Linked DNA regions of Callithrix jacchus. The protein of the gene in region 4 binds, or shares a complex with, the protein of the main gene of each other region. Links are inferred from orthologs where the notes say so. Each region holds a gene or a part of one and is shown on either strand. Other genes may lie near its edges.

What was found.
Region 1: MED26 (region 4) and MED25 share a complex: the UniProt entries of both Homo sapiens proteins name them as parts of the mediator complex. The link is inferred for Callithrix jacchus from reciprocal best matches to the Homo sapiens genes MED26 and MED25.
Region 2: MED26 (region 4) and CCNC share a complex: the UniProt entries of both Homo sapiens proteins name them as parts of the mediator complex. The link is inferred for Callithrix jacchus from reciprocal best matches to the Homo sapiens genes MED26 and CCNC.
Region 3: MED26 (region 4) and mediator of RNA polymerase II transcription subunit 24 share a complex: the UniProt entries of both Homo sapiens proteins name them as parts of the mediator complex. The link is inferred for Callithrix jacchus from reciprocal best matches to the Homo sapiens genes MED26 and MED24.
Region 5: MED26 (region 4) and MED18 share a complex: the UniProt entries of both Homo sapiens proteins name them as parts of the mediator complex. The link is inferred for Callithrix jacchus from reciprocal best matches to the Homo sapiens genes MED26 and MED18.
Region 6: MED26 (region 4) and MED13 share a complex: the UniProt entries of both Homo sapiens proteins name them as parts of the mediator complex. The link is inferred for Callithrix jacchus from reciprocal best matches to the Homo sapiens genes MED26 and MED13.
Region 7: MED26 (region 4) and MED7 share a complex: the UniProt entries of both Homo sapiens proteins name them as parts of the mediator complex. The link is inferred for Callithrix jacchus from reciprocal best matches to the Homo sapiens genes MED26 and MED7.

Annotation. Positions count from the first base shown.
Region 1 is NC_133523.1:43,593,226-43,597,566, reverse strand, and holds the start of MED25 (mediator of RNA polymerase II transcription subunit 25), read right to left. Parts: upstream 2,903-4,341; 5' UTR 2,850-2,902; coding exon 2,716-2,849; exon of another isoform or gene 2,621-2,715; coding exon 2,575-2,620; intron 1,843-2,574; coding exon 1,718-1,842; intron 1-1,717. UniProt on the Homo sapiens protein: Component of the Mediator complex, a coactivator involved in the regulated transcription of nearly all RNA polymerase II-dependent genes.
Region 2 is NC_133505.1:105,600,977-105,604,578, forward strand, and holds part of CCNC (cyclin-C), read right to left. Parts: intron 2,915-3,602; coding exon 2,830-2,914; intron 2,668-2,829; coding exon 2,598-2,667; intron 2,432-2,597; exon of another isoform or gene 2,348-2,431; coding exon of another isoform or gene 2,294-2,347; intron 1-2,293. UniProt on the Homo sapiens protein: Component of the Mediator complex, a coactivator involved in regulated gene transcription of nearly all RNA polymerase II-dependent genes.
Region 3 is NC_133506.1:72,262,600-72,266,893, forward strand, and holds the start of mediator of RNA polymerase II transcription subunit 24, read left to right. Parts: upstream 1-1,423; 5' UTR 1,424-1,765; intron 1,766-4,249; 5' UTR 4,250-4,294. Other genes in the region: uncharacterized protein LOC108590274, read right to left, coding at 18-450. UniProt on the Homo sapiens protein: Component of the Mediator complex, a coactivator involved in the regulated transcription of nearly all RNA polymerase II-dependent genes.
Region 4 is NC_133523.1:15,245,110-15,249,400, reverse strand, and holds the start of MED26 (mediator of RNA polymerase II transcription subunit 26), read left to right. Parts: upstream 1-1,453; 5' UTR 1,454-1,715; coding exon 1,716-1,787; intron 1,788-4,291. UniProt on the Homo sapiens protein: Component of the Mediator complex, a coactivator involved in the regulated transcription of nearly all RNA polymerase II-dependent genes.
Region 5 is NC_133508.1:65,000,249-65,004,499, reverse strand, and holds the start of MED18 (mediator of RNA polymerase II transcription subunit 18), read right to left. Parts: upstream 2,816-4,251; 5' UTR 2,749-2,815; exon of another isoform or gene 2,693-2,748; intron 1,595-2,692; 5' UTR 1,534-1,594; coding exon 1,461-1,533; intron 1-1,460. UniProt on the Homo sapiens protein: Component of the Mediator complex, a coactivator involved in the regulated transcription of nearly all RNA polymerase II-dependent genes.
Region 6 is NC_133506.1:94,817,872-94,821,473, reverse strand, and holds part of MED13 (mediator of RNA polymerase II transcription subunit 13), read right to left. Parts: intron 1,468-3,602; coding exon 1,346-1,467; intron 1-1,345. UniProt on the Homo sapiens protein: Component of the Mediator complex, a coactivator involved in the regulated transcription of nearly all RNA polymerase II-dependent genes.
Region 7 is NC_133503.1:19,917,972-19,922,352, forward strand, and holds the start of MED7 (mediator of RNA polymerase II transcription subunit 7), read right to left. Parts: upstream 2,850-4,381; 5' UTR 2,805-2,849; intron 1-2,804. Other genes in the region: GARIN3 (Golgi-associated RAB2 interactor protein 3), read right to left, coding at 3,065-4,225. UniProt on the Homo sapiens protein: Component of the Mediator complex, a coactivator involved in the regulated transcription of nearly all RNA polymerase II-dependent genes.

The DNA.
Region 1 (4,341 bases), about 28 Mb from region 4:
ACAAAAAAAATTTTTTTTTAATTAGACAGGTATATGGCCAGGCACGATAGCTCATGCCTGTAATCCCAGTGCTTTTGAGAGGCCAAGGCAGGTGGATCACCTGAGGTCACGAGTTCAAGACCAGCCTGGCCAACAAGGTAAAACCCCGTCCCTACTAAAAATACAAAAAATTAGGCAGGCGTGGTGGCAGGTGCCTGTAATCCCAGCTACTCGGGAGGCTGAGGCAGGAGAATCACTTGAACCCAGGAATCAGAGGTTGTGGTGAGCCAAGACTGTGCCACGGCACTCCAGGCTGGGCAACAGAGCAAGACTCCATCTCAAAAAAAAAAAATTAGCCAGGTGTACTGGCACGTGTCTATAGTCCCTGCTACTCCAGCTACTCAGGAAGTTGAGGCGTGAGTATCACTTGAGCTTGAGCCCAGGAGGTCGAGGCTGCAGTGAGTCGTGACTGAGCCACTGGACTCCAGCCTGGGTGACAGAGTGAGACCCTTCCTCAAAAACAGAAGAGCCCTGGGGGCTTCCTCTTTGCGCTCTCTATTGGCTCACTCAATCTGAGGAATGGCTGTAGCCATGTTACAACAGTCAAGCTCCGTGCAGAGGTCTCGCGGTCAACAGCCACCGTCAGCCACCCTGGGAGGGGCCTCCCCACCACCAGTCAAACCCTTGGATGGCTGCAACCCTGCCGACCTCTTGACACCCTCAAGAGGTGCCTTGTGACACCCTCAGCCGAACCATTCAGCTAAGTCACTCTTGTGTCCCTGACTCAGAAACTGCGTTAGATAATGGACGCTTGCAGTATGAAGCTGTTAGGTTTGGCGGTGACCTGTATGCAGCTAAGAGTAAGTACTAAAACACAAGTACTACCCGCATCCTGCTTCAGAGGCGAGAGGCTAGGCACAGTGGGGACAGGGCTCCTGGGTCTGAGAGTTAGTTCGGTGCTGGAAGAGCCAGGATTTGACCCCAGGCTGCCTGACTCCAGAGTCTGCAACATCAACTATCAAAATCTGATCCGATGCCAGGCATGGTGGCTCCCGCCTGTAATCCCAGCACTTTGGGAGGCTGAGGCAGGCAGATCACGTGAGGTCAGAAGCTTCAGACCAGCCTGGCCAACAGGACGAAACCCTGTCTCTACCAAAAGTAAAATTAAAAAAAAAAGTAGGTGTGCATAGTGATGGGTGCCTGTAATCCCAGCTATTTGGGAGGCTGAGGCAGGAGAATTTCTTGAACCTGGGAGGTACAGGTTGCAGTGAGCTGAGACTGGGCCACCACACTCCAGCCTAGGTGACAGAGCAAGACTCTGTCTCAAAAAAAAAAAAAAAAAACAATCCGACCCAAGCCACAGAGGGATGTATCCTGGCTCTGACCCATCCCTCTGCACTGAGGCTACAATGTACCCATCTGGAAGAGGAGAACAAGGGCAGATGGAAAAAGAGAGGACAGAAAGGGGACAATCACACATTCAGTACAAGGTGGCTGCTGGAGCTCAGTCAGGCCTCCCTGAACGGGAAGTTTTTCATGCTTCTAAACCGGATGGCAACATTGCTGAGCACACAGAACCCACCACAGAAGTGACTCTTGACAAAAACACAATGACCCTCACAGCCCTTTCAATCGCCTAATGTAAAGGGATGGTTCTTGAAGCTTAAACCCAAACCACCTCTCATTCACAGTCCCTCACAGGGTCCCCCAACCCAGCCCAAGTGGAGAAAAAGCTCACTTAATGCCATCCAGCCAGGTGACAAACTCATAGGCGCTGCTGGTGGGAGCGTGACACTGTACGTAGGACTCAGGAGCGCAGTCCACCGTGTTGAACACCACGAGGCTGTACTGGGTCCCCCCATACTGGGAGGTGGGGACAGAGGAACTTTTAATCTGGGACCTCAATTCCCTTTTCCCTCAGAGAAGGAATCAGGGCTCCCAGCTTCCTGTTCTTCCAGAATCAGGAACTCCTCAGCTTCCTCCTTCCTCAGACCCAGAAGTCCAGGCCCAGCCCCTCCTCCCTCACATACAGGGGTCAAGTCCCAGCCCCTCCGCCTTCAGACCCAAGAATCCAAACCCCCAGTCCCTCCTCCCTCAGATCCAGAAATACAGGTCCCCAGCCACTCCTCTCTCAAATTCCGGAGTCCAGGCCCAGCTCCTCCCCACTCAGACCCAGGAGTCCAGACCCCCCGACCTCCTCCTCCCTCAGACCCCGAAGTCCAGACCCCAACCTCCTCCTCCCTTAGACCAGGAGTCCAGGCCCCCAGCCCCTCCTCACTCGGACTCGGGAGTCTGGACCGCAGCACCTCCACCCTCAGACCCAGGGGTACCGGCCCAAGTGCTTCTACCCTCAGACCCAAAAGTCCAGGCCCCTAGCCCCTCCTCCCTCAGACCCAGGAGTCCAGACCCTGACCTCCTCCTCCCTCAGACCCGGGAGTCCAGGCCCCCAGTACCTCCTCCCTCACACCCGGGAGTCCAGACCCCGACCTCCTCCCTCAGACCCGGGAATCCAGGCCCCCAGCCCCTCCTCCCTCACACCCGGGAATCCAGGCCCCCAGCCCCTCCTCCCTCAGACCCAGGAGTCCCAAGACTCACGTCACCCCCGAAGTCCGTCTCAGCAGGAGGACCACCATTAAAATACCTGTGAGGGTCGGAGGTGAAAGGTCGGAGTCAGGCCAGAAGCTGTGGGAAACTCTAGTGGGAGGGCGGGGTTCGAGTCGCGGAAACGGCACTCACTCGATGGCCGGGAGCAGGTAGTGCTTGCGGAGCCCTTCGAAGTAGGGTCCCAGGTTGGCCGTACCCTCAATCACAAACACCACGTCGGCCACGAGGCCCCCGGCGCGGGCCGGGCCCTCGGACCCGGGGACCATACCCCGCGCGGAGGCCGCCACCGCCACTGCCGCCGCAGCCGACACCGCGGAATGAGGGGAAATGCGCCTGCGCTGCGCGCGCACCCGCGCCGGGCGGTTGAGGGCTGCTGGGAACGCACGGGCGGCCATATTTGTGCGGGGCACAGGTTGAGGCTTCGATCTAGCTCCATCCTCCTTCGCCCTAACCCGTGGAAGACTCAGCAAGGACATAGTTAGCCCTTTTGGGGGGCCTGATGGGTTAGACAAAATCATTGTCAGGATTGTCAAGAACGAAATAAGTTGAAGGCGGCACAGTCGGCTGCCATCTTTGAGCGGGGCGTCTGGGCCCGCCTATTAGCTCAATGGGAGGGGCAGGAGACCTGGTTGCTATGCAACACTAACGCTGCCCTTGTTTTCGTTTTCCTTTATCCTTTCCCCCCCCCCCCCCCCCCACGAGACGGACTCTCACTCTGTCGCCCACCCTGGAGGGGAACGGCGCGATCTCGGCTTACTACAAGCTCCGCCTCAGCCTCAGCCTCCCCAGGAGCTGGGATTACAGATGCCCACCACCATGCCCCGCTAATTTTTGTATTTTTCGTAGAGACGGAGTTTCACCATGTTGACCAGGCTGTCTCGAACTCCTGACCTCAAGTGATTCGCCAGCCTTGGATTCCTAAAGTGCTGGGATTACAGGCGTGAGCCACTGCGCCCGGCCCGCTGCCCTTGTTTTCTAACCATGAGATTAAGTTTCTGGTTCTGTTCTTTCGTGCGCGGGGACTGGGGGGAGGGACGCGAGAAGGGTCCAATCGCAATGGCGGAAACGAGGTTACTAGGCAACGCTTTAAGGTTGCCCTTAACTTGGAAGGGAGGATAGTAGTTTTCCTCCTGAAAAGAAGCTGAACACGAACCCAAGTGCAAGGGTTACTAAGCAACACCTGAGCGTTGTTTTCCGGGCGAGGAGCCAGAAACTAGCCTAGAACATAAATACATTCCAGGTGGATTAAGAACATAAGTGCAACAAATAAAACACGAAAATAGCTGAAGGAAAAAAATCCTAATGACTGCCATGAAGTTTCTCAGCAAAGTCAGAATACGTAAAATATTAATTTGTCCGCAAAAGATTGCATAAAGCAAGTTGAAACATATACCACGAACTGGAAAAATCTAGCGTGTTTGTTGACAGAAATGTACTACACAAATCTTACCGATGAATAACAGTATAGAAAAATAGAAACACTTCATTGTTTTTTTTTAAATTTTATTTTTTGAGACAGGGTCTCTGTTGTGCAGGCTGGAGTGCAGTGGCCATTGCAATCTTGGCTCATTGCAGCCTCTATTTCTCACACTGAAGCCACTGTCCTGCCTCTGCAGCAGCTAGGACCACAGCCACGCACCACCACTCCTGACTAATTTTTAATTTTTTTGTAGAGGTGGGGTCTCGCTATGTTGCCCTGGCCTGTTTCAAACTCTTGGGTTGAAGCGATACTCCCGCCTTGGCCTCCCAAAGAGCTGG
Region 2 (3,602 bases), on a different chromosome or scaffold from region 4:
ATATAGACCAATGGAACAAAACAGAGGCACCGGAGGCAACACAACATACATACAACTATACAATCTTTGATAAACCTGACAAAAACAAGCAATGGGGCAAGGATTCCCTGTTTAACAAATGGTGTTGGGAAAACTGGCTAGCCATGTGCAGAAAGCAGAAACTGGACCCCTTCCTGACACCTTACACTAAAATTAACTCCAGATGGATTAAAGACTTAAACATAAGACCTGGCACCATAAAAACCCTAGAAGGAAATCTAGGCAAAACTATCCAGGACATAGGAGTAGGCAAGGACTTCATGAACAAAACACCAAGAGCATTGGCAACAAAAGCCAAAATAGACAAATGGGACCTAATCAAACTCCACAGCTTCTGCACGGCAAAAGAAACAGTCACTAGAGTGGATCGGCAACCAACAGAATGGGAAAAAATTTTCGCAGTCTACCCATCTGACAAAGGGCTGATATCCAGAATTTACAAACAACTCAAGCAGATTTACAGGAAAAAAACAAACAAGCCCATTCAAAAGTGGGCAAAGGATATGAACAGATACTTTACGAAAGAAGACATATATGAGGCCAACAATCATATGAAAAAATGCTCATCGTCACTGGTCATCAGAGAGATGCAAATCAAAACCACACTGAGATACCATCTCACGCCAGTTAGAATGGCGATCATTAAAAAATCTGGAGACAACAGATGCTGGAGAGGATGTGGAGAAAAAGGAACACTTTTACACTGTTGGTGGGAGTGTAAATTAGTTCAACCATTGTGGAAGACAGTGTGGCGATTCCTCAAGGCCTTAGAAATAGAAATTCCATTTGACCCAGCAATCCCATTACTGGGTATATATCCAAAAGACTATAAATCGTTCTACTATAAGGACACATGTACACGAATGTTCATTGCAGCACTGTTTACAATAGCAAAGACCTGGAATCAACCCAAATGCCCATTGATAATAGACTGGATTGGAAAAATGTGGCACATATACACCATGGAATATTATGCAGCAATCAGAAATGATGAGTTCGTGTCGTTTGTAGGGACATGGATGAATCTGGAAAACATCATCCTCAGCAAACTGACACAAGAACAGAAAATGAAACACCGCATATTCTCACTCATAGGTGGGTAATGAAAAATGAGAACACATGGACACAGAAAGGGGAGTACTAAACACTGGGGTCTATTGGGGGGAAAAGGGGAGGGCCAGTGGGAGGGGGAGGTGGGGAGGGATAGCCTGGGGAGAAATGCCAAATGTGGGTGAAGGGGAGAAGAAAAGCAAAGCACACTGCCATGTGTGTACCTACGCAACTGTCTTGCATGCTCTGCTCATGTACCCCAAAACCTATAATCCAATAAAAAAAAAAAAAAAAAAAAAAAAAAAAAAAAAGACACTTAAAATTATTACACGGTAATACTTAAGTAAAATCAAATATTACACAGTAGAATTATTAGAATTAGAAAAATCAATCCATAATAAAAACCTTTAATAAATACTTTCTTTTCCATTAAAGAACTTAACAAAAACAAAGCTGGTTCTGCCTTAACTACCACTCACAATTAGAAAACATAATCTTCTAGAAAGCTTGTCTTAATATTATTTCTAACAGAGGCAACTGTCATTATTTAGGTAAACATTGGGGAAGATGTCATGGATAATCTTAAATCATGGCAAAAACAAAACTAAATCAAAGTGGGTACCAAAAGGAATGTAAACTTACTAGGTAAAAATCACATTCAATATCCAAGAATAAAACTACCACTCTAAGACATTATCCAAAAATAGAAATATAATGCAAAGATTTTACACCACAAAAACTACATTAATTATTTATGGAAAACAGTCAATATCTGCTTTTATTTTCTGGATTTTAGCTGAGCTGTTTCAAAAATGTGACAAAGGCAAAAGAAACTGAACAGAAATTCAGTCTCTGCTGCAAGTTCCTATCTATCTTCTCTCCCTTACCTAATTTCTCTACTCTCACAACCCAAACTTTTACTTGTTAGAATCTATACAGCTATAGCGTCCCCTAATCCTTGCCTTCCTTGTGGCTTGGTAGGCAGCCAATCATCAGAATGATAGGAGGGAAGATAGGAGAAGATAAGGACATGGGTGAGAAGGAAGAGGGACATTCTCAGGTTATGGCAGGCAAGCTATGGGTACTTACTGAATAATACTTAGTGCCAAACAAGAAATGTCTCAAAGGCAGCAAAGGAAAGTAGTTAAGAACACAGGATTGGTAATGAGACTCCCATGGTTCAAACACGGGCTCTGACACTTACCAGCTGTATAATCTTAAGCAAGTTCTTCATCTCTCTCTGTCTCAGTTTCCTCATTTATAAAATGGGAATACTACTACTATGTATTCCAGTTTGTTACGAAGATTAAGTCAGTTGGTACACAGTAAGTGCTGTATATGTCTGTTAAGTGAATATATAAGGATATGTATATATTTCTTTGACTTTGTACAATTTTAGTATTTTGCATAAATTACCATTAATTGTATATAGGCAATGTGAAAACTGGGGCAGATTAACCAACATACATTAACTACACTTTGATGAAGAACAAAAAATCATTTTATACCTCTACTTTGGATGCCAAAAACACACATGTAGGAGCCATTAATACAGGATCTATACTTTTCAGAGAATACCTAAAATATGATAAAGCAAAGTTAATTATCATTCATATAGAAAGCACACTGGGAAAAAAAAATCAAGATAACTCTATGGCAGACACATGATTCATTTACACTGTGCTAAGGTTCATCCATATTAGATAAGAGTTCAAATAAATAAAATAAAAATAATCCTACCTGGCATAGAATCTCTTGAAATATACTGTAGCAGTGGCAATAACTTGTTGTCTTAATTTAAGATGTTCACCTAATGCCTGGATAACTAAAGGGAAAATAATGATATTTTAAATGTATCTTCTGGGATCATTATAATATTAACATTGAACAGTAACTTCCATGTGGTTAAATCATAATTATATTAATTTTTAACAAAGGAAAAAACATGTGCATGCTCTATATGAGCCACAGTGGTCTAATACAAGGATTTGTAAATGTGTTAAGAAATAAATAGGAGTGCATAAACGACAACAACAAAATAGAAATTGCCCCACAGCAAAATATTATTCATGCATTAAGGAAGTTGAGTAAGTATTTTCCCTCTATCTTCTAAATATTTTTAATGCCTTTCATATTATCTTTATAATAAATATAAAAAGAAAATATTAGATGCCTATGAAACTTGTTAATACTACCACTTTTTTTGTTGTTTTGAGACAGATATTCTGTTGCCCAGGCTGGACTGCAGTGGTACGATCTTGGCTCACTGCAACCTCTACCTCCCGGGTTCAAGTGACTCTTGTGCCTCACCATGCCCAGCTAATTTTTGTATCTTTAGTAGAGAGGGGTTTTACTATGTTGGCCGGGCTGGTCTTGTATCCCCTGGCCTCAAGTGGTCTGTCCATCTATGAATCCCGAAGTGCTAAGATTACAGGTGTGAGCCACCACACCCAGCTAATACTACCACTTTATACAGTTCACCAAGAAAAAAAAAAATCCATAATAAATCCTCA
Region 3 (4,294 bases), on a different chromosome or scaffold from region 4:
CGCTCCCTCCTCCTTACCTCGGCGTGGCGCGCTGGACCGGGCTGGGCAGCGACGCGGGGGTCTCAGCGCCCAGTGCCGTGGGCGTCCATGGGGGGCCGGTGGGGCCCGGGCCGCCCGCCTCCTGCGCCCGGGTGTGAGTGCGAGTGAACGCGGGGGGGGACGGGGGGCGAGTGTGGCGGCCCCGCGGCTCCTCCGGCAGAGGCGGCGGCCGCTCTGGCTCCTCCCTCCCCCGCCCCGCTCCGGCTGGGGCTCGGGCTCCGCGCGCCCGGCCGGCTCGCGGCTGCTCCCTGCAGGCCGCCTCGCCACCGCCCGCCCCCGCCCCCCGCCCCCTGCCGCGCCCCGGGACCCCCGCCAGCGGCCCGGCAGCCCCTCGGCCGCCCCTGCCCCGCCCCGCTCGGACTCGCCCTCCCCCGCCGGGCGGCTCCCGCAGGAGTGGGTACTTGGTGACATATTTTGGAAGAGATGTCATTAAAAAATAGCCTTTGCTTGCCGGGAGAATTGGGGGTTTTCGGGTTTGCACCATGGGGTGGGGGAGGAAGTACCGAGGAGCCGCCTGCACCTTACACATGAGGAGAAAGCCTAAACACCAAACGCTTGCAGGTGTAGAGTTTGTTTAGGAGTTCGGGTCCCTTCTCCGCCAGTAACTCACTGTGTGACCTTGACAAATCACCACTGCTGTCGGGGCAGAGCTTCCTCAAGCTTCAGCCGCGAAGGCTGGGCAGATCACCCCTGACGTCCTTTTAACTTCAATCATCCTGTGTTTTTAATCCTTGTGTGGGCTCAGTACCTCCCTCCCCTCTCATTTCTAACATCGATACCGATCCACTGCCTCCCCTTTCCAACATCACCCTTCTCCATATAGGCTCTTTCTATTCTCTGTCACCAGCCATTTCCCCAACAATCTGCTCCCTCTCCTCAGCTCGGGGAGGGGACAAGATTTGCCTTACCCCCTCAATTCCTAGCTCCTGGGTGGTGGTATTTCCCCCCGTGTTTGTTCCCACCAAAATCCAAATGGTACCAGAGTCAATCTAAGGAAGCCGGTGGGCTGCATACAAATGGACCCCCTAACCCAACCCAAAGGAGAGGTTTCCACTGTGCCAGCCCCACCCCCAGCACACATACACACACACACAACACACACACACACGCATCTGCAATTCATGGACATAAAACCAACCCAGTGACGCCAGAGCCCCTTTCATCTCGGGATCTCCCAGTTCCAGGCCAAGCCCTAATTACCCCAGCACGCCCCTGGCCCCGCCGGTTCCCCTGCTGTCATTAGCCCAGTTTTACCAGTGGGGGCCACAGCCTTCCCACGGCTCTCAGGGTGGGGCCCTGCTACACAGTCTGCTCTTGGAGAGGGGTGTGTGTTTGTGTGTGAGCGTGTGTGTCAGGGGGAGCTGCTCAGCTCCTGGCCCAGGTTATACTGGATAGAATCACTTGCCGAGTGTGGGATCCTGACCCACAGCTTATCCAAGCTGGGCTGCCCTTGCTCATGTCTCAGTCTCAGCCTCCTGCATCCTCAGTGCTGTTGGAGCCACTTCTTTCACAGGGGATACTGGAGTTTGTAATGCTTGGCGGAGGGGAGGGTACCTCTCTGGGGGTCCCTGGAACCATGGAGATGAGAAAAGCAGCTGGGATGAAATCTATGGCATACAGAGTGCAGCGGTGGTGTTGAGGGCATGCCATAGGTGAAGGGAGCCTGTGAGGTGCAGTGGCAGCTAGAAGGGGGAGTTGAGGCAGCAGCGTGCAGAGTCTCCACGCGGTAAGCGAACCTGTGTTCAGTCTGGGCTCACGGGAGACAAGCAACAGCTGCAGTGTGGGGCAGGAGGCTGCAGCGTGCAGAGTCAGTGCAGTGAGCAGAATGAGGTGCACTGAGGGTGGCTGCCTGCCGGTGGGTGCCACCTCCTCGGTGATGAGGTTTGGCCGAAACCCTGGGGTGCACGGCTACAGTGTATAGTGCTTGGGGTCTGTGCTCTACCCTGTGTGGAACTAGTCCGTTGGGATTGGGCTGCTTAAGGAGCTGGGAGGGAATCCTGATGCATGAGATACATTTATACTCTGCGTCACAAAGACAGAACTAGGAGGCAGTGGGGAGGGCCAGCAGTCATGTGGATTGGGGCTGGAGTGATGGAGTCCAGAGGCGGAGGAGGAAGGTGCTGTGGTTTTGTCTCCCTTCCATCCTGGCTTTCCCCACCATATCTCTCTTTGATGCAAGGCCCTATAATATTGTGTGGGGAAGACTTTCTGAAATCCTAGATCCAAAGCCATATAAAATGATGTGCCTTCTGATTCCCTTTTTTTTTCCTGAAGGGCAGAGTAGGGCACTCAAAGACAAGGGTTTACCATTTCCATCTTCTCCCCCACTCCTTTTTTTTTTTTTTTTTGAAATGGAGTTTTTCTCTTGTTGCCCAGGCTGGAGTGCAATGCTGTGATCTTGGTTCACTGCAACCTTCGCCTCCCGGGTTAGGGCAATTCTCCCGCCTCAGCATCCCTGTAGCTGGGACTACAGGCATGTGCCACCATGCCAGCTAATTCTGTATTTTTTTTTAGTAGAGACAGGGTTTCTCCATGTTGGGGGCTGGTCTCGAACTACTGACCTCAGGTTATCCATCCGCCTTGGTCTCCCAAAGTGCTGGGATTACAAGTGTGAGCCACCATGCCCAGCCCCCATCTTCTCCTTTAAAAAATTTATTATTATTATTATTATTAGAGACAGAGTCTTCCTCTTTTGCCCAGGCTTGGGTGCAGTGGCACAGTCTTGGCTCACTGCAACCTCCGCCTCCTGAGTTCAAGGGATTTTCATTTCCCACCCTCCCAAGTAGCTAGGATTGTAGGCATGTGTTAGCATACCCAGCTAATTGGTTTTTATTTTTTTATTTTTTGGTAGAGAAGGTATTTCACCATGTTGGCCAGGCTGGTCTTGAACTCCTGGCCTCAAGTGATCCTCCTGCCTTGGCCTCCTAAAGTGCTGGGATTACAGGCGCGAGCCACCATGCCGGCCACCCCTATCTTCTCTTTACCTCTCTCTCTTTCCTGGGCTCCCATTATGTACTGGTGACAGATCTGGGCAGGACAAAGTGAAGGGCACACTGCCTTCAAAGCAGGCCTCTGCCCAGGTGCCAGGATCCAGCCCAGGTCTGGGCTTAGAACCCCTGTCCCTGTATTGCATCCTCTGTCTTCCCAGCCCACTCACCCTGCCCACCCATTTCTTGAAGCTGCTAGCTCTTCTTAGATTCAGTTCATCCTCGGCTCCGGCTCTGTCCTTGTCATGAAACCCCCCATCAGGGCTGTCCCCTCCCATTCTCCATCTCTGCTTCAGCGCATTCCCCGAATCTATCAGAAGGGTAGGGGTGGCATGAATAAGGATGGATAGACTCTCCAAGGGGATATGTCTGATGGCCCCTGCAGCTGAGATTTCCGTTGCCAAGGAGGTAGCAGAAACAGCCTGTTCTCTGGGCTCCCATCAGAACAGCCATGCCCAGGCCCCTCCCTTCCTTCCAGACTATTGCTAGGAAGCACCCCAAGATTTCTTGAGGATACGACCTCTAGGAAACAAGGTAACCAGATATCTTTCTGAAGAGGTTTTTTTTTCAAAGTCTGGCAGCTAAGACCCCACATAGCATCTTCTACCCCTGCCCAGAAGGCTTACACATCTCTAGCAGTTTGGGGAAACAGGAGACAGTCCCCTCTACCAGCCACCCTGGAACAAGCTCTGTGGCCTGGCCTCAGTAATTCCCCTCCTCTAGGTCAGCCTTGACCTCCTGGGCCTAGGTCAGCAAGTGATGGCACGTCCAGCATATACCTCTAGACTCTGCAGATAGAGCTGAACTTACTGGGGGTGCTCTGGAAAGACAGCAGAGGAAACTGAGGCTCCACCAGCTAAGAGAACTCAAAGCTCAGATGTTTCTCCCTCTGAGGGATTTCCCAATCAAGAAGAGTGGTGGAAATGGAGGAAAGAAAGTTGGAGAGCAGACTGGGCAAGGTGGCTCACATTACCAGTACTTTGGGAGGCTGAGGTGGTAGGATCTCTTCAGGTCAGGAGTTCAAGACCAGCCTGGGCAACATAATGAGACCCCCCCCCATCTTAAAAAAAAAAAACTCACAAATGATCTGGGTGTGGTGGCGTGCACTGCACCTTCAGTCCTGGCTACTTGGGAGGCTGAGGCAGGTGAGAGATTGGGAAATTAGCAAATAATTACCCTGGTAAGAGAAAGTGACCATTTAATTTTCCCTTTTGTCCCATCAGGTGCCCTTGCTATGGGTCACAAAAGAGGGAGCCAGGGAAGAGACC
Region 4 (4,291 bases):
GCACCACATTCTGGGAGGGGCGGGGGTGGGAGCAGTAAATGACGAGTGTTTTTGCCCGTGTTGCTTTTCTCCTCCCAAGTGTGATGTAAAACTTTTCACATGTGCAGAAGCACGCTACCATAGCCACGTGCAGAAGCAGCCGTTTTTGCAAATGAAAATATTTCCCAGAAGCATAACAAATACAAGACTAACAGGTGTCGGGCAGATCCAAGGCACACATGTGGTTCTCATCAGCCGTCTTCCTCCTGTTTTAAATCTAGGTCTTCCTGTAACCGCGGGAAAAAAAAAGATTTTTCCCGAGGCCGCCGAGCTTGCCTTTCCACCCCGTCTCACAAAGCATTTCCAACAGAGCTCCCAGAGAGAGGGGAGCAATTACAGAAGGCAGTAAATAGGGTGGAGGTAGGAAGGGCCCCCTTAAACTTGACATCTGCTGTTCTGGGCTTAACCCCGAAGTCTGGGTGACCTTGAGCCTCAGTTTCCTCTTGTGTGACATGTTTGGTTCCGAGAATGAGGGTCTCAGTTTTACAGCATCTCCAAGCAGAGGTGGGTGGAAGGGTCTTTCAATCACGGGGTTCTCCGCCGGTGAGGGGGGGCGGGGAGACTGTGGCCCCCAGGGAACGGCGGCAATGACTGCAGACTGGGGGAGGGGGCGATCGGGTGGCCAGAGATGCCGCTCTACTTCCGACAGATCGGAGAGCCCGCCCCGACGACAGAGGGATCCCGCCCAAATACCAGTGGTGCCGAAGTGGAGAAGCCGCGGTAGAGATGCAGGTTTGCAACCTCCGGCTTTCCGGCGTTCCCAGCTAGTGGGGCGGCTCCTGCCAGAAGCGCTTTGCTGCTTCACGTTTCCGCGATGGGGGTCGCACGTGGCTATGCAGACCCCCCCCCGCCCCGCCACACCCACTCCCACACCCTCTGAGGGGCGGAGGTGGCCGCGGCGACATCCCCGAGCCCCTCCGATGACCCTTCGGGACGCAGAATCACAACGTGAACGTCTGGTTCCCTCGCCCCCTCAAAAAACTCGACAGCTGCTAAGCCTGCAACTCCCGTACCCCAGTCACGCGCCAGGAAGGGTCTCCCCAAGAAAGGATTCTCCCATCGCCCTCCCCGCCCTGAGGTAGCCGCCGCGAGCGTCAGGGTTCAAGGACTCTTCGCGCGCGCGCTTCCGTCGGAAAGCCCCGCCCCGTGACCCGGGCTGGGGCGGGGCCTCCAGGCAGTGACCGTTGCCCCGCCCAACCTCCTCCCAACGGCTGCCTTGGCTGGGCGGTGGGGCGGGGCGGCACGGGCGGGCGAATGCGCCTGCGTGCGCATGCGCGCTGGTGAGGGGCGTGGACCACGGGCTGCCCCGCCCAGGTTTGGCGTCTCCTCCAGCCCCATCTCCCAACCTCCTCAGCGTGGCGCCGACGCTGCGTGCGGCGCTGACTACCCAGAGTACTCCGCGCGGGGGCAGCTCACTGGAGTTTGGTTCTCGAGGCGGCGGCAGCGAGCGGCGGCGGCTCCGGCAGCTCCTCCTCCTCCTTCGGTGGCGGCGGCGGCCCGGGACCGAGACCCGGCCCCGGCTCCCCTCTCCGCCACCCCGCGCGCCCCCAACTCCCCCGGCGCCGCGGGGAACATGCGGCTCCGGCTCCCGGAGGCCGGCGAGTGAGTGACCCCCGTCCCCCGCCTCAGCCCGCCCGCCCGCTGGCCCGGCCGCAACCCCCCGCCTCGCCCAGGCAATGACAGCGGCTCCGGCGTCTCCGCAGCAGATCAGGGACCGGCTGCTGCAGGCCATCGACCCCCAGAGCAACGTAAGTACCGGCCGCGCGAGCTGGGACGGAGGCCGCATGGGCCCGGGACCCTCCCCCTCTCCTGTCCCTTTCGCCCAAAGGGCTTCAGGGGACCCGTCTGGCGCCCACCTCCCTTCAAGGGCCGCTGCCATCCCTGCCTTTCGCTCCTCGGGCCCGTGCCGGGGGCAAGTTGGGCAGCCCGGCAACGCTCTGTACGTGAGGCCGAGGCTTCCGTGCGGCCTGGGCGGAGGAAGCAGACAGGAGACTGAGGCTAGAGCTTTTCCCCCCTTTCTACTCCAGCTCTACGACCCTGACTGCTCTGGACGAAGCCCCCCTGCCTCGCCCTCCCTCCGGGACCCGAGACCCCCGGGAAGCCCTCCTGGAGCGGGGGAGGGGAGGGAGAAGGTCTGTGAAGCAACTGGTGTCCGGGGTATGACTCGGGGAACCTGTGTCTCTCATTTCTCGGCCTTCTGGGCGATCAGGGAAGTCCTTGTTCCCTCTCCTCCCGGCCGGCAGCACCTACCCGGCTTCGCACAGAACCCCCAGTCTGTTTTGCCCCTGGCGGGGTAACCAGGGTACGTGGAGAGTCTGTCTCTGTTCTGTGACTGGACACGCCTTTGCCAAAAACCCTCCTGGGGTCGCTGCCGACGACAGATGATCGCGGGGAGGGTGGGATCCTTCCTGTTGCCTTTCTGGGCCTAAGTACTCATTGCGTCTCTGACCAAGCCAGAGCTCCATTTTTTGGCTAGTGAATTAAAGAGGACTGTTTCCTCTCCGTTTACCCAAAACCCGTGTTTCAGTCAGCTCTTTCCCTCACGTGGGGAGTCTCGGCTCGGTGGTTTGTGACCCAGACTGTCAGGGTTAACTCTAGGGTGTCGCTTCCTCAGGTGCCCCTTTGCTGGGGCTACTGTTTTTAGAGGGACCACCCCCTCCCCCCTCCGTGTGTGTGTGTGTGTGTGTGTGTGTTGGGGGGGTGGGAAGACTGATCTATTCTCATATTTTCTCTAAGTGTTTCTTGGCAGTAGGGGTCATTCTTCTGGCGGCAGGAGCAGGGCGGTGGGAAGATGTGGTAGCATCCAGGTATGAAGTAAGGGCCTGGGAGACCAGGAAGTGGCCATTGAGATCACTTTTTAATATGCTGTGAATGGAAGAAAAAAATCATCTTTGGCTTGGCCAGGTAACTCAGGTTTCTCTTCCCATGGGGGTTTTTGCTTTTATTTTTACATGAGCTTGGCTGATTACTCTTAGCAGTATGCTTAACTCTGATGATGTTTTTGGAATAATTCACATTGGCTTAAACAATTTTGGGTAAAGACTGAAGGGTTATGAGTTTTTTCTAAGGCTCTGGTTGCTGTGACATAAGTACCGCTCTTATCCCTGGTAATCAGGTCCCATTAAAATTGATTGTAATTGTGTTTAACAAATTTTGTGTTATACATTTTTGTCATGACTTTGGGGGTGGAGTGGACACAAGCTATATAAAACCTTCTAGAATGTCCTTTTTGCAGTAACTGGTGCCACTGCAATTTTAAAGACTGAAATATTAGAGGATAAAACAGGTGACATGAAAAAAATAGCATTGGTGACTTGTGCATCTTTTGTGGAGTCAGAAGGTAATTTTTTTTTAATCTCACGTGCTCGCTTCCCTTCGGGAGAGTCGGAGAGGTTGCTGAGATATTAGCATTGATCCTTAATGCCACCTCAGAGAGCTTTGGGATCAGGCAGTGTTGTAGATTAGGCCACCCCAGTGACCTCAGGGGTTCCACTGTTGTGTAAGGCTCTAATCTAGAGGGTTCCTTGAGGCAGAAGAGAGAAAGGAGGAGGGAAGGCACCTTCATTTTGTATGTCTTAGCATATGCAGAAATGTTATGTAGGTAGGTCCCTGGTTATGTTACCTGGTGTGGAATTTACCTGATGATAATGGGCAGAGTCCTACTAACATGGAGTGCATGGATTTGGGAAATTATCTCTTTGACTATGAGCAGTGAGGAAAGTGCCTCCTTTGTGAGTGACCCTCTGGGCGCTGTTATGGGCCATTTGACAGGACCATTCGATAGGACCATTCGGTTTGAGCAAACACCATGCAGAAACCCAGAGCCGCAGTGGACAGGGTTGCTGGCAGAGGTGGTGGTGAGGGCCAGGCATGTCAGTATGTCTGCAGTTTCTCTCAGATCAGTGTGGGTTCAGGTGAGAGCAGGTGGCTCCAGCACAGGCACTGCTGGCCCGCTGTCTCCTCTCTGGCCTGCGCAATGATGGACTCCACTATTGGATATTTAGTTGACACATATTTAGGATCCTCATGGAAAGAAAAAAAAACGGGGACAGTGTTGAAGAGCCAACACTAAAATTAAACCTCTTCTGAGAGAAGCGGCAGAGAATTGTGTCATGTAATGCTTACCTTTATGCAATTATGGTTAACAAACTTAGCTGTTGCTTGCAAGATCAGTGTCAGGAGCTGACCTAATATCCACAAGTATCTGGAAAGTTGAGGAAGTGACGAAGTCATGTTTACCAACCATACCCTT
Region 5 (4,251 bases), on a different chromosome or scaffold from region 4:
CATTACAGTTTAGTAGTGGAAACAAGAAATAAATAAGTAAGGCTGAGTGCAGTGACTCATGCCTGCAATTCGAGCACACTGGGGATGCTGAGGTGGGAGGAATCATGTGAGTTCAGGAGTTCGAGACTAGCCTGGGCAACATAGTGAGACTTCATCTCTACTAAAAATAAAAAATAATAATTAGCTGGGCGTGGTAGCATGGGCCTGTAATCCCAGCTACTGAGGAGGCGGATGCGGTGGGATTGATTGCTTGAGTCTAGGAGGTTGAGGCTGCAGTGTGCTGTGACTGCACCACTACATTTCAGCCTGGGTGAGAGAGCAAGACTCTGTCTCCACATAACCAAACAAGTAAATGAAAACAAGGAAATAAAAGAGAATCAGATGGAGAGGAACTGGAGGGGACAAAGGGGAGGAAACTACTCTGAGATGTTGGAGTGGTCAGAGGACTCTCTAAGGGGATGACAGATGAGCTAAGACCCTACGATGAAAATGAAATGGTTAGCTGGGCGTGGTGGCTCATGCCTGGAATCTCAGCACTTTGGGAGGCCGAGGAATGCGGGTCACAAGGTCAAGAGATGGAGACCATTCTAGCCAACACAGTGAAACCCCATCTCTATTAAAAATATAAAAATTAGCCAGGCATGGTGGTGCACACTGTAGTCCCAGCTACTTGGGAGGCAGAGGCAGGAGAATTGCTTGAACCTGGGAGATGGAGGTTTGCAGTCAGCCTGGGCAAAAGAGTGAAGAATCCATCTAAAAAAAAAAATCAGAGAAACACGACCTAGAAAGATAGTTGCTAAGGGATAGTTACAGGGGAGTGGGAATCAGTGTTTAATGGATACAGAGTTGCAGTTTTACAGGATGAAAAACTATTTTAGGTTGGGCACAGTGGCTCATGCCTATAATCCCAGCACTTTGGGAGGCCAAGGTAAGTTGATCACTTGAGTCCAAGAGTTCAAGACCAGTCTGGCCAACATGACAAAACCTCAACTCTCTACTAAAAAATACAAAAATTAGGTGGGCATGGTGATGCACACTTGTAATCCCAACTATTCGGAGGCCTGAGATGTAAGAATCCCTGGAACCCAGGAAGTGGAGGTTGCAGTGAGCCAATATTGTGCCACTGCATTCCAGCCTGGGTGACAGATCGAGACTCTGTCTCAAAGGAAAAAAAGTTCTATTAAGTATTTTTTCAAGCTATTCACAATAAACACGAGTTCTAAAGATCTGTTGCTTAACAATGTTAATATACTTCACACTACTGAACTGTACACTTAAATATGTTATGATGACAAATTTAATATGTTTAATGCATATAAAACTATAATATGAAGTAACAATTAAAAACATAGCTGATTGCCAGAAACTGTGCAGGCTGCTTTTGTGTTAAGTCTCTCATCTTCACGGAAGCTGAACAGAGAAGAGGAAAACAGGTAATCCAAGTTCCCTGGTTCACTTACCCTGCAGCAGGTACTCCATCATGTTAATGGTGCCCCCAGTGACAGGCATCATGGTGACTGGAGGTGCCTCCATGGTGTCTAAGTTGAAGACAACACAACTCAGAATGCCCAGTCAGGTAAGGCATGAGATATACCTGAAAAAGAATTCACTTGTTTATACATCAGAGTGGTGGAGAAAGACCAGATCTGTTGTGGCACTAGCCTTCAAATCAAAAGATTCATTCATTCAAAAACGTCTGAGTATCTCCTTATATGGCCAGTTCCAGGAACTGATAATACAGAAATATAAAAGGGAGATCTAATCATGGAGTTATACCATAACCTTCTAGTCTCAAGTTCTGAAACTTCCAAGTTACCTGTGCAATCTTGAGAAAGTCCTACAACCCCTCACCCTGGGACTCAATGTATTCCTTATAAAATAAGGCCAATTTTTTTTTTTTGAGATGGAGTTTCACTCTTGTTATCCAGGCTGGAGTGCAATGGGGTGATCTCTGTTCACTGCAGCCTCCGCCTCCAGGATTCAAGCGATTCTCCTGCCTCAGCCTCCCGAGTAGCTGGGATTACAGGCATGTGCCACCACGCCCGCCCGGCTTTTTCTGTATTTTTAGTAGAGATGGGGTTTTGCCATGTTGGCCAGGTTGGTCTTGAACTCCTTGGCCTCAGGTGAGTCTCAGGTGATCCGGCCTCCCAAAGAGCTGGGATTACAGGCATGAGCCACCGCGTCCAGCCGAGGCCAGTATTTTTTAATTTCGGAGGCTATGTGGCTCTAATGACATAATAAAGAGGAAACAAAATTCAGAGGAACTGAAAAGTGACTTAAGGGCCCTTAATTTTATAGATGAGGATACTGAGACTCGGAGAGGGGCAGAAGGATACACAGAGCAAGTTGGTGGCAGAGTTTGGACCAAACTAGAATCTAGGCATTCCATCTCTCTAAAAATGCCTTCCCCTCTCCCTTTTTGTTTTTTGGAGACAGGATCTCGATCTGCAGCACAGGCTGGAGTGCAATGGGGAGTTCCCAGTTCACTACAGCCTCGAACTCCTGGGCTCAAGCGATCCTCAGCCTCCCGATCTACCTCCCAAGTAGCTAGACTACAGGCGGGAGAGCCACTGCGGCTGGCCTGAAAATGCCTTTTAAAGAGAGCCAAGAGAAAGTTATTTTAAGATGATGGTGTATAGGTCCCTTTAAGCCGCATCCAGAACACGTGTCCATTTAAACACTAGAAACACACCTCCTTGAGGCTCTAGCTTCTTCTCAGGAAGCCGGGAATTATATTCACCCGCGCACCTAGGCGCCTTTGAGCGACGATTAGATTCCAGCCCTCCGGTTAACCGAGCCCCGGAAGCCCTTAGACGGAAGCAACCAGCCAACTTCCTCCTCTTTTCACCTCCGATCGGAAGCCGAAGTCTCACAAACCTCGAAACTGCCGTTCCGGAACGTAAGGGTGCCGAGAAGGCCAAAGAGCTTCATTGCGGACAGACAACCAAAAACGCATGCGCGAAATCCCGGGCTGCTGTAAGAAAGATGGCGCCCTCCTTTGGAGCATTCCTCCGGGAGCTACCTGAAGCCTTGATGTCACAGGCCTTCCTCTAGGAAAATATTTTTAGGTTTGACAACCTGGAGATGTACTTGTGTAGAAAGTCTCTTGGAACTGTTAAGACTTACAGAGATTATCATGAACTTAAAAAAAAAAACAAAAACTGGGCTGGTCCGAAGGTAGTGAGTTATCTCAATTGATTGTTCACAGTTACACAGATCGAACTCCTTGTTCTACTCTTTCCCCCCTTCTCACTACTGCACTTGACTAGAAAAAAGAAAAATAAAATTAAATTAAATTAAAAACACACACACACACACACACAAACTGAGGGGTTAGGCATGGTGGCTCATGCCTGTAACTCTAGCACTTAGGGAGGCCAAAGTGGGCGGGTCACTTGAGTTCAGGAGTTCAAGACCAGCCTAGCCAACATGGTGAAACCCCGTCTCCACTAAAAATACACTAAAAAACCGGGCATGGTGGCGCATGCCTGTACTTTCAGCTACTGGGGAGGCTGAGGTGGGAGAATCACTTTAACCCGGGAAGCGGAGGTTGCAGCAAACCTACATTTCACCACTTGCACTATAGCCTGGATGATAGAGAGAGACTGTATCCAAAAAAAAAAAAAAAAAGAAAAAGAAAAAGAAAAAAAGAAAGTAAAGGAATAAAGAATGGCTACCCCCATAGGCAGAGCAGGCGAGTGGAAAAGGTGTAGGCCTAGATCCAGGAGTACTCTGCATGCCAAACTAAAGAATAGATGTGGCCAGGCACGGTGGCTCACGCCTGTAATCTCAGCACTTTGGGAGGCCAAAGCGGGCAGATCACAAGGTCAGGAGTTCAAGACCAGCCTGACCAACATGGTGAAACCCCGTCTCTACTAAAAATACAAAAATTAGCTGGGCATGGTGGGGCATGCCTATAATCCCAGCTACATAGGAGGCTGAGGCAGGAGAATTGTTTGAACCCAGGAGGCGGAGGTTGCTGTGAGCTGAGATCGCGCCACTGTACTCCAGCCTGGGTGACACAGCGAGACTCCGTCTCAATTTAAAAAAAAAAAGAATAGATGTGAGCTTTAAAGGAACTCTGATTGCAATGTCGAGAAAAGTTTGGGAAAGGAGAGCCTGGAGAAAAAAGATCAGGCCGGGCTCAGGTGGCTCAGACCTGTAATTCCAGCACTTTGGGAGGCAAGGTGGGCAGATGGCTTGAGCTCAGGAATTCAAGACCAGCCTGAGCAACATAGTGGAAACCTGTCT
Region 6 (3,602 bases), on a different chromosome or scaffold from region 4:
CAATAAGAAGGAGTTGTAATTAACATTAGAAATGCTTCTTAGTAAAAGATACTTGCAAAGCATTTGTCTCCTTAAGTTGAATACATTAAGGTTTGTGTTTTTCCTATATATTCAATCACCCACTTCTCTGAACTCTTATTTATACTTTTACCTTGTTTTAATAATCTCCTTACTCCTATAAAAATACTGTAACAGGTAAAACTAAGTACAAACTTCAGAAGATCTAATGACAAAGCAATAGTTTTCCTAACTTTTAGTACATTGAACAAACAAGCTTTACTATTTCCAAGCTATTACCAATGTTTTCAGAGCTAACATTTGTTCCATGTCTTCTGTTAGACAGTTTGTGATAAATATTACTATGCAGACCACATTCTGACTACAACCTTTTTATCTTAGAGGAACCACAGCTGATACATGAATGGTAGTAGATAGTATGAATGTGTCAAAACATTCAAGGATATATTTGCCTAGTGAAGGGTGTTCTAAAATGTACTACACTATGGGATATATAGTAAAAGTTTATGTATCTGATATATATATATGTATATGTATGTATATGTGTGTGTATATGTGTACATATACACATATACACACACATATACATACATATACATATATAGATATATATGCTGAGAGGAATAAATGCATATTATATAGGAAAAGAAAGACCAAATGTACCATAGAAGTTTCCAAGCTACCTTTATGCAGATGAAAAGGAATTCCCTTTTATGATAATGCAGCACCCAATTCATTAATTTGCCAGAGACTTGACATTCTAGGGAATCTCATTTTAAGCTTTAATTTCTTTTATCTTCACCTTTCTCTGCAAATGGGTGTTAAAGATCAAATATTACTTTTTCTTCCTCTTTCATTGCTATATCATGTATCTGTCTTATAATAATAGCTGTGATGTCAAACAAATTCAAAAGAACTGGTATTCCTTAATAAATTGACAAAGCAAATAACTTTAATGTCAATTATTTATGTGTTCTCTGAATGAGTAAATTCCAGGGTCATTTCTCAAACTACAGAATCAAATAGGAAAATAATTCTGCTTCCTAAAACTGCAAAATAGAACATACAGCAGAGCTCAAATTAAGGTTAATCATGTGTTTCCCAAATGTAAAAACAAAAGGAGAAACAAAAATCTCAAAGTTTATAGGTGACACTATGGCAAGACTACTCAAACATGAGATTAAAAAAGAAACCAATGAGACTTTACTATGAAATATTTCTCATTGTTCAGGGCTAAATCATAGTATTAAACTCATAAATCACTTCTAAAGAATAAAAAATATGTACATAAAATCAATATATTCCTATTTATTAATGAGATACTCACTGTTAGTTCATCTTCATCAGAATTGAAGAGATTATCAAGATCAGTATAAGAGACAGCCAGGTCTGAGTCATAAATCAAACTTGTTGATGGAGGACGGGCATGACTAGTAGGGCGTGGAGCATCTACAAAAGTCAATCAGAAAAATAAAACTGCTACTACTGATCAAATAAGTATTATTCTGTTTAAATTAGACATGTAACTTTAAGTTCATAGGGTACTATGCAACAAGAAACTGTAATTTATTATTTAAAATCTAGAAAGTGTTTTTAATAGAAAAAATGTTATAAAGGTATAAGGGGTTTATACCTTTTCCAGGAAGCTCACTAGAAGGTCAAGTAATCCATAAAATAGCTAAGTACTCTACATGAATAATTAATATATTAAATAAAAATATAAATTCTATTTAGGAAAAGTGAATTAAATACACACACATATTTGTAGTTTTTTTTGAGATGGTGTCTCACTCTGTTACCACCAGGCTGGAATGCAGTGGCACAATCACACCTCACCGCAGCCTTGACCTCTCGGGCTCAAGCAATCCTCCCATCTCAGACTCCCCAGTAGATGAGACTAGGCATGAGACACCATAACCAGTTAATTTTTTTTTCTCGAGTTGGGGTTCTGCCATGTTGCCCAAACGGGTCTTGAGCTCCTGGGCTCAAGCAATCTGCCTGCCTCTGCTTCCCAAAGTGCTGGGATTACAGGTGTGAGCCACCTCACCCAGCCTGTATTTTTCTCTTTCTGAAATGTAAAGGAAGAACAGAACAATGATTAAGAGGTAACTCTTGGGCCAGACTTTAATTTGAATCCCAGCTCCACTACTAACAGTATGACCCTCGACAACTTACTTAACCTCTCTGTGCCTCAATACCAAGAACTGAATTAAATGTAATAGAATATAGGTTAATATGCTTTGCCCATTGCTAGGTGCTTAAGTACTAGATAAATATTACCTCTTAGTTACTGTACTACAATTTTATTTTCCTTCCCTCCCGCCCCATTTTAGGGGAACAAATACATAATCCCAATTCCAATGAAAATTAAACTCCCAATATATTCCTGCACAAGAAAAACAATTTGATACATAACTGTCCAAATCATTCTGTCAACTGACTTGAGATAATCCTCGTTTTCAGAAAGAGAAAAGTCACTTTCCCAGTGCCTCTGTGTGTCAGTTCTAAAGATCCACTAGAGCTGCAGCTTTGAAATTTTAAGTAAAAATCCATCTAGGATACTTATTAAAAACCAAAATTTTGAAGCTCCATCTCAGGGATACTCCAGAATGTAGTATATGTTTCACATTTTGAGAAAGCTGTACCGCAGGCACAAGAAGTGGCTTACATGTTTCCTATATCCCAGGGAATACCCTAGGATAAGGAGGCCAAATAACCCAATTTGTTTCTGAGGTTTTTTTTTAATGTATGTATTATAAAATGGCTCAATCAAGCTACTTAACATATTCATTATCTCATATACAGGTACTTATTTTTCTGTGAAAACACTTAAATTCTACTCTCAATTATCAAATATACAAAGTATTATTAATTGTAGTAACCAGAATTTACAATAGATCTCTTGAACTTATTCCTCCCAATGAAATTTTGTCCACTTTGGCCATCTCCCCAATACCCCAACTCCTAGTCTCTGGTAATCACCACTTTACTTTCTACTTCCATGAGTCCAATTTTTTTAGATTCCACATGAAAGTGAGATCATACAGTATTTATCTTTCTGTGCCTGGCTTATTTCATGTAGCATAATGTCCTCCAGCTTCATCCACGTTATCACAAATAGCAGAATTCCCTTCTCTTTTTAAGGCCAAACAGTATTTCACTGGTGTATATATACCACATTTTTAAAATCTAGTCACCCACTGATGGGACACTTAGGTTGATTTCGTATCTTGGCTACTAAGAATAATACTGCAATGAACATGGAAATGCAGATACCAGTATTAACATACTGACTTCACATTCTCTTGATATATGTCCAGTAGCAGGACTGCTAGATCATATGCAGTTCTATTTTCTGAAGAATCTCCATACTGTTTTCCATGATGGCTGTACAACATTTACTTTTCTCCCAACAGTGAACAAAGATTCCCATTTCTCTACATTCTTACCAACACAGCTTTCCTCTTTTTGATAACAGCCATTATAACAGGCATGAGGTGATATCTCATTGTGGTTTTAATTTGTATTTCTCTGATGATTAGTGATGTTTAGCACTGTTTCATATACCTGTTACCCATTTGTAT
Region 7 (4,381 bases), on a different chromosome or scaffold from region 4:
GCTTATGTGTGTAACGCCAGACTTTAAGTTTGGAACATTGGTTAGTAATCAGCCATCTACTCTCATTACACTTGCAGCGGCAGAATTGCTACCATGGTGACAAATATTGCTGTTAAAAACATTGTCTTTTATCTGATAGGGGTATTGACTTGATGCCCCAGTTGACATCTCCCTCTGAGGAAGAGACCTGTTGCTTTGAAATACATATTTATGCATCTTTCTCTTGATGAAGTATCAAGATAGAAAAGGAATTGCAGCAAAGTACGTGGCAGAGCATGCTGTGGTGGGCAAGTCCCCGCCTCTACTTTACTTAAGTTGCATTTGTGTACATTGGAGGTCTGCTCAGCTAACACCCTGCATGGTGGATGAACTATGTTCATGCTGTACAGGATGGAGAGAGTGCACCCTCCCCTTCAGACGGGGGAGGGTGCATAAAACAAGACTAGAAGGAAAACAAAAGATAAAGCCATGGTCTACACAATTATGAGATTAAGCCATTTGTAGCTAGGATAATTCAGACTCTGGCATAGCTGTAAGTCTGGAACTCCAGACCAAAGGCTTTGACAGGAGTTCCGCTTTATCTCTCTCCTCTACCCCACCTGCCAACCTGTCACACTCCTGTGTGGCTTTCCCAAAGGCCCTCTCAGACTTCTGAGTGTGTGCCTCTCTCTCTCCATCTAACTGTATCCACTGTTTCAAGAGTCGACTCCCAGAACATCTTAATCTCAGGTTCTATGGTCTTTATTGAAAGCCACAAGGTGAGATTTTCCAGCCGCCCACCAGAGCAACTGAGAAGGGATTCCCCTGATACTGACAGGCCACTACTCCTCCCAGAATACCTTGCTTCTCACCTCCTCCATCTGCACTACACATATTTGGTCTTCAGAGAAAGTCCCTAAGTTTTGCCAGAAACTCAACTTCTGTCCTCCAAGGTACTGCTGCAGAGAATGAGCAAAGACTCAAAAGGCTGAGCAGTTGCTCCCCTCCTGGACTTACATGAACACACATGGCTCCCAGAATCATTTTTCTCAAATTGAATTTTTATTATCTGATGTTAATACTGTAATGTTTTTCATGGATTCATTTTACAGGTTTTTTTTTTTTTAATGGAAAGACAATTTTTTTTACAATAAAACTTTTTAAAATTTACAATCCCGTTTCTAGGGATTAACTTCCACATGAACACATAATTTACATCATGTTAGTACACAGCATTTTGGACTATTTTATTTCTTAATACATTTAAACATTTTCCATGTTTCTATATTCTGAATATTTTTATGTTACTTAGAATTTTTGTTTCGTACCTATTGAAAGATGTCTTTCAGAGTTAGATTTTTTTTGTCATAAATCTCTCTTGTGTGGGTGTAAAAAGGAAAACATTGGTGAAATAAATTGGATAGGGCGTTTCTAAGGCAGTGACATACAATTGACACTTTGCTGGAAGTGATTTAAAAACAATCCTGATTTCAGAGATGTTAAAATAAAGACACAATAACAAACCTCCATGAATACACCCTCTTGTTTAAGAAATGGAATAATCATGATTCTGTTGAAGCTGTTTGTGTGTGCCTCCCAGATCAGACATCTCTCCCTTTACCCTTTCTCTTCTTTCCTTTTTTTATCCATATCCTGAATTTTGTGATTATCATTTCCTTGTTTTTCTCTATACTTTAAGCAAATATATATCCCATAGTTGAATCTTATTTTTGAACTGTTCTACAAATTGAACTATATCATATATATTTTTGTGACTTGCTTTTAGTATCCCATATTATGTGAGATTTATCCATGCTAGCTGGGCACAGTAGCTCATGCCTGTAATCCCAGCACTTTGGGAGGCCAAGGAGGGTGGACTGCTTGAGGTCAGGAATTTGAGACCAGCCTGGTCAACATGGCAAAACCCTGTCTCTACTAAAAATACACAAAATTAGTTGGGCATGGTGGCACATGCCTGTAATCCCAGCTACTTGGAAGCTGAGGCACTAGAATTGCTGGACCCTGGGTGGCCAAGATTACTGTGAATCAAGATCACCTCACTGCACTTCAGCCTGGGTGACAAACTGAGACTCTATCTCAAAAAAAAAAAACAAAAAAAATGTATCCTTTCTAATAGCCGCTATTCATTTACACTGTTGTAGATTATGCACTGTAGTTTATTTCATAGCTTATTAATTCTCCTGTTTGATGAACACTTGAGGATTTCCAGGGTTTTGCTATTACAATTTGTTTTACTATAAACATTCTCCTAGTTGTCTACTGGCAAGCATATGTGAGAATTTCTCCACTGTCTACACCTAGGAGGAAGACTTGTTAAGACTAGATCAAGAGTCAGCACATTTTCTGTGAAGGCCCAGATAATATTTTAGACTCTGCAGGCCATATGGTCTCCATTGCAACTACTCATATCTGTCATTTTAGCGTGAAAGCAGCCATAGACAATATGCAAAGGAATGGCTGTGGCTATGTTCCAGTAAAATTTTATTTACAAATCCAAGCAGCTGGCAAGATTTGGACCTCAGAATATGGTTTGCCAATTCCTGATCTAGATGCATAGATTTCCTATTCTAATTGCCTACAAATGCTGCTGCACTGCTCCTTCCTCCCCTGAATACCCTCTGAGGGGATGTGAATCCTGTCTCTGCCTAGTCTATGGACTGGACTGAATGTCCATGTTCAGGAGCATTCAGGGAAGAGAATGGGCATGGGGACGTGGTGGTGGTGCATCCAGCTCTTAATCTGTGACTTTGACAGTCTAGGGGAAGCAAAGGCAGAAAGGGGTTGAGGCAAAGCAAAACACTCACATTGGCTCTGCTGGGCCTGGGTGGGTGGTAGGGCTCTACCTGCCTGGAGGCTGGGGTCTCAGGCTGTAATGTGGTCACCATCACAGAAGCCACTGTGAAGTCACTGCCAGGCTATGGGGCAGAAAAAATTCAAACAGGAGATTTTATTTATTTAGGGGTTGTATGATTTCCTTTATTATTTAAACTGCAGTAAAGAAAGCTGGGATGGGCTCTCTAGGGATACTTCCCAGATCCCTGGGAGTTGTAGCCCTGGCTCCTATTTAAATGGATTTGGTTTCAAAGATGGTCATCTCCATCATCTTGGATGTCACAGTGCCACTGATCACCTCCAGCTCCTGGGCTTTCTCCACTTTGGCCTCTATGTTTTGCTTCTCCGCCATCTTAGCCACGATGTCTACCTCTCTGTCGTGTGATGTGACCCTTGTTTTTGAACCAGCAGTAGCCCTGAGGCTCCTTAAAAAAGACATGATTTTACTGGGTTTCTTACTTAAAGCTCCTGTACTAGATGTGGATCGGTTCTTCCCCAGTTTGTGAGTTGTTCTCGACTCCTTTTTGGTGGAACTGTGGCTGGAGCTCTTGCGAGAGGAGCCACGTCCCTTGCCCCTTACCTTGCTGCGCCCTTGTTCTTTTTTGTCATCTCTCGTGTTTTTATGGCCGGATATAGACCGGTGGGAGGATGCTTTCTGGGTCTCGTCTCCTGCTGTCCTGCGGTGACTTTCACCTGCCTTGCGGTGATGGGAACTTTTCCTACTGGGACGTTTGTCCTTCTTTTTTCTTCTTTCCTTTTTTTCATTCCAGGCTTCAGCACTGGGCTGGGAAAGCTTCTGGCTTCCATTCCGTTCACTCATGTAGCCTTCGCTTTGCAAGGTGGACACGAGGGGTCCCAATGCTGGTCCTTGAGTTCTTTCTGCCACACACTTGCCTGTCGTCATACTGCCTGCAAATGCCATACTCAAGCTGCTGTCTTGGGAGAGATGGGCGGCCCCCGCCATCGTGGTGGAAGAAGTACCTGCCAAGGAGGTGCTTGCAACACCCACCAAGGCCAAGTTCATACTATCTGAGGATATGTTGGCAGCACCTGCCATGGACTTGCTGGATTCATTTTCTCCCGGATTTTTGATGGCTGCTCCCGCCAGCGCTGTGGTCACCTGGCCTGGGCCTGCAGGTTTGCTTGCTGCTATGCTCACAGCGCCTGTTGCAGGACTCATTGCTGTGCCTGCTATTGCCACACCTGCTCTGGGGCCTGTTGTTCCTGCCATGCCACCTGCTGTCCTTGCTGCTGCTCCTTCAGCAGCCATTCCATGGGAGGCATGTTGGATTCCTTCTCCCCCAGCATAAGCAGAAGAGGTGACTGCAGATACATCACAAGACTTGTGAAGCCCAGTCTCACTCTGATCCCCTTTTCTGTGGAGCTCTGCAGCCTGTACCAAGGGGAGGAGAAACAGGTGAGATAGAGATGACTGAAAGAGAGTTCAGAACTGTGTGCTGCTCTCTTATCCTGGAGTGGAACAATTCAAGGCTTTATGATTAGAAGAACCTGGATCGAATGTGGTGGCTCATACCTGTAATCTCAACAC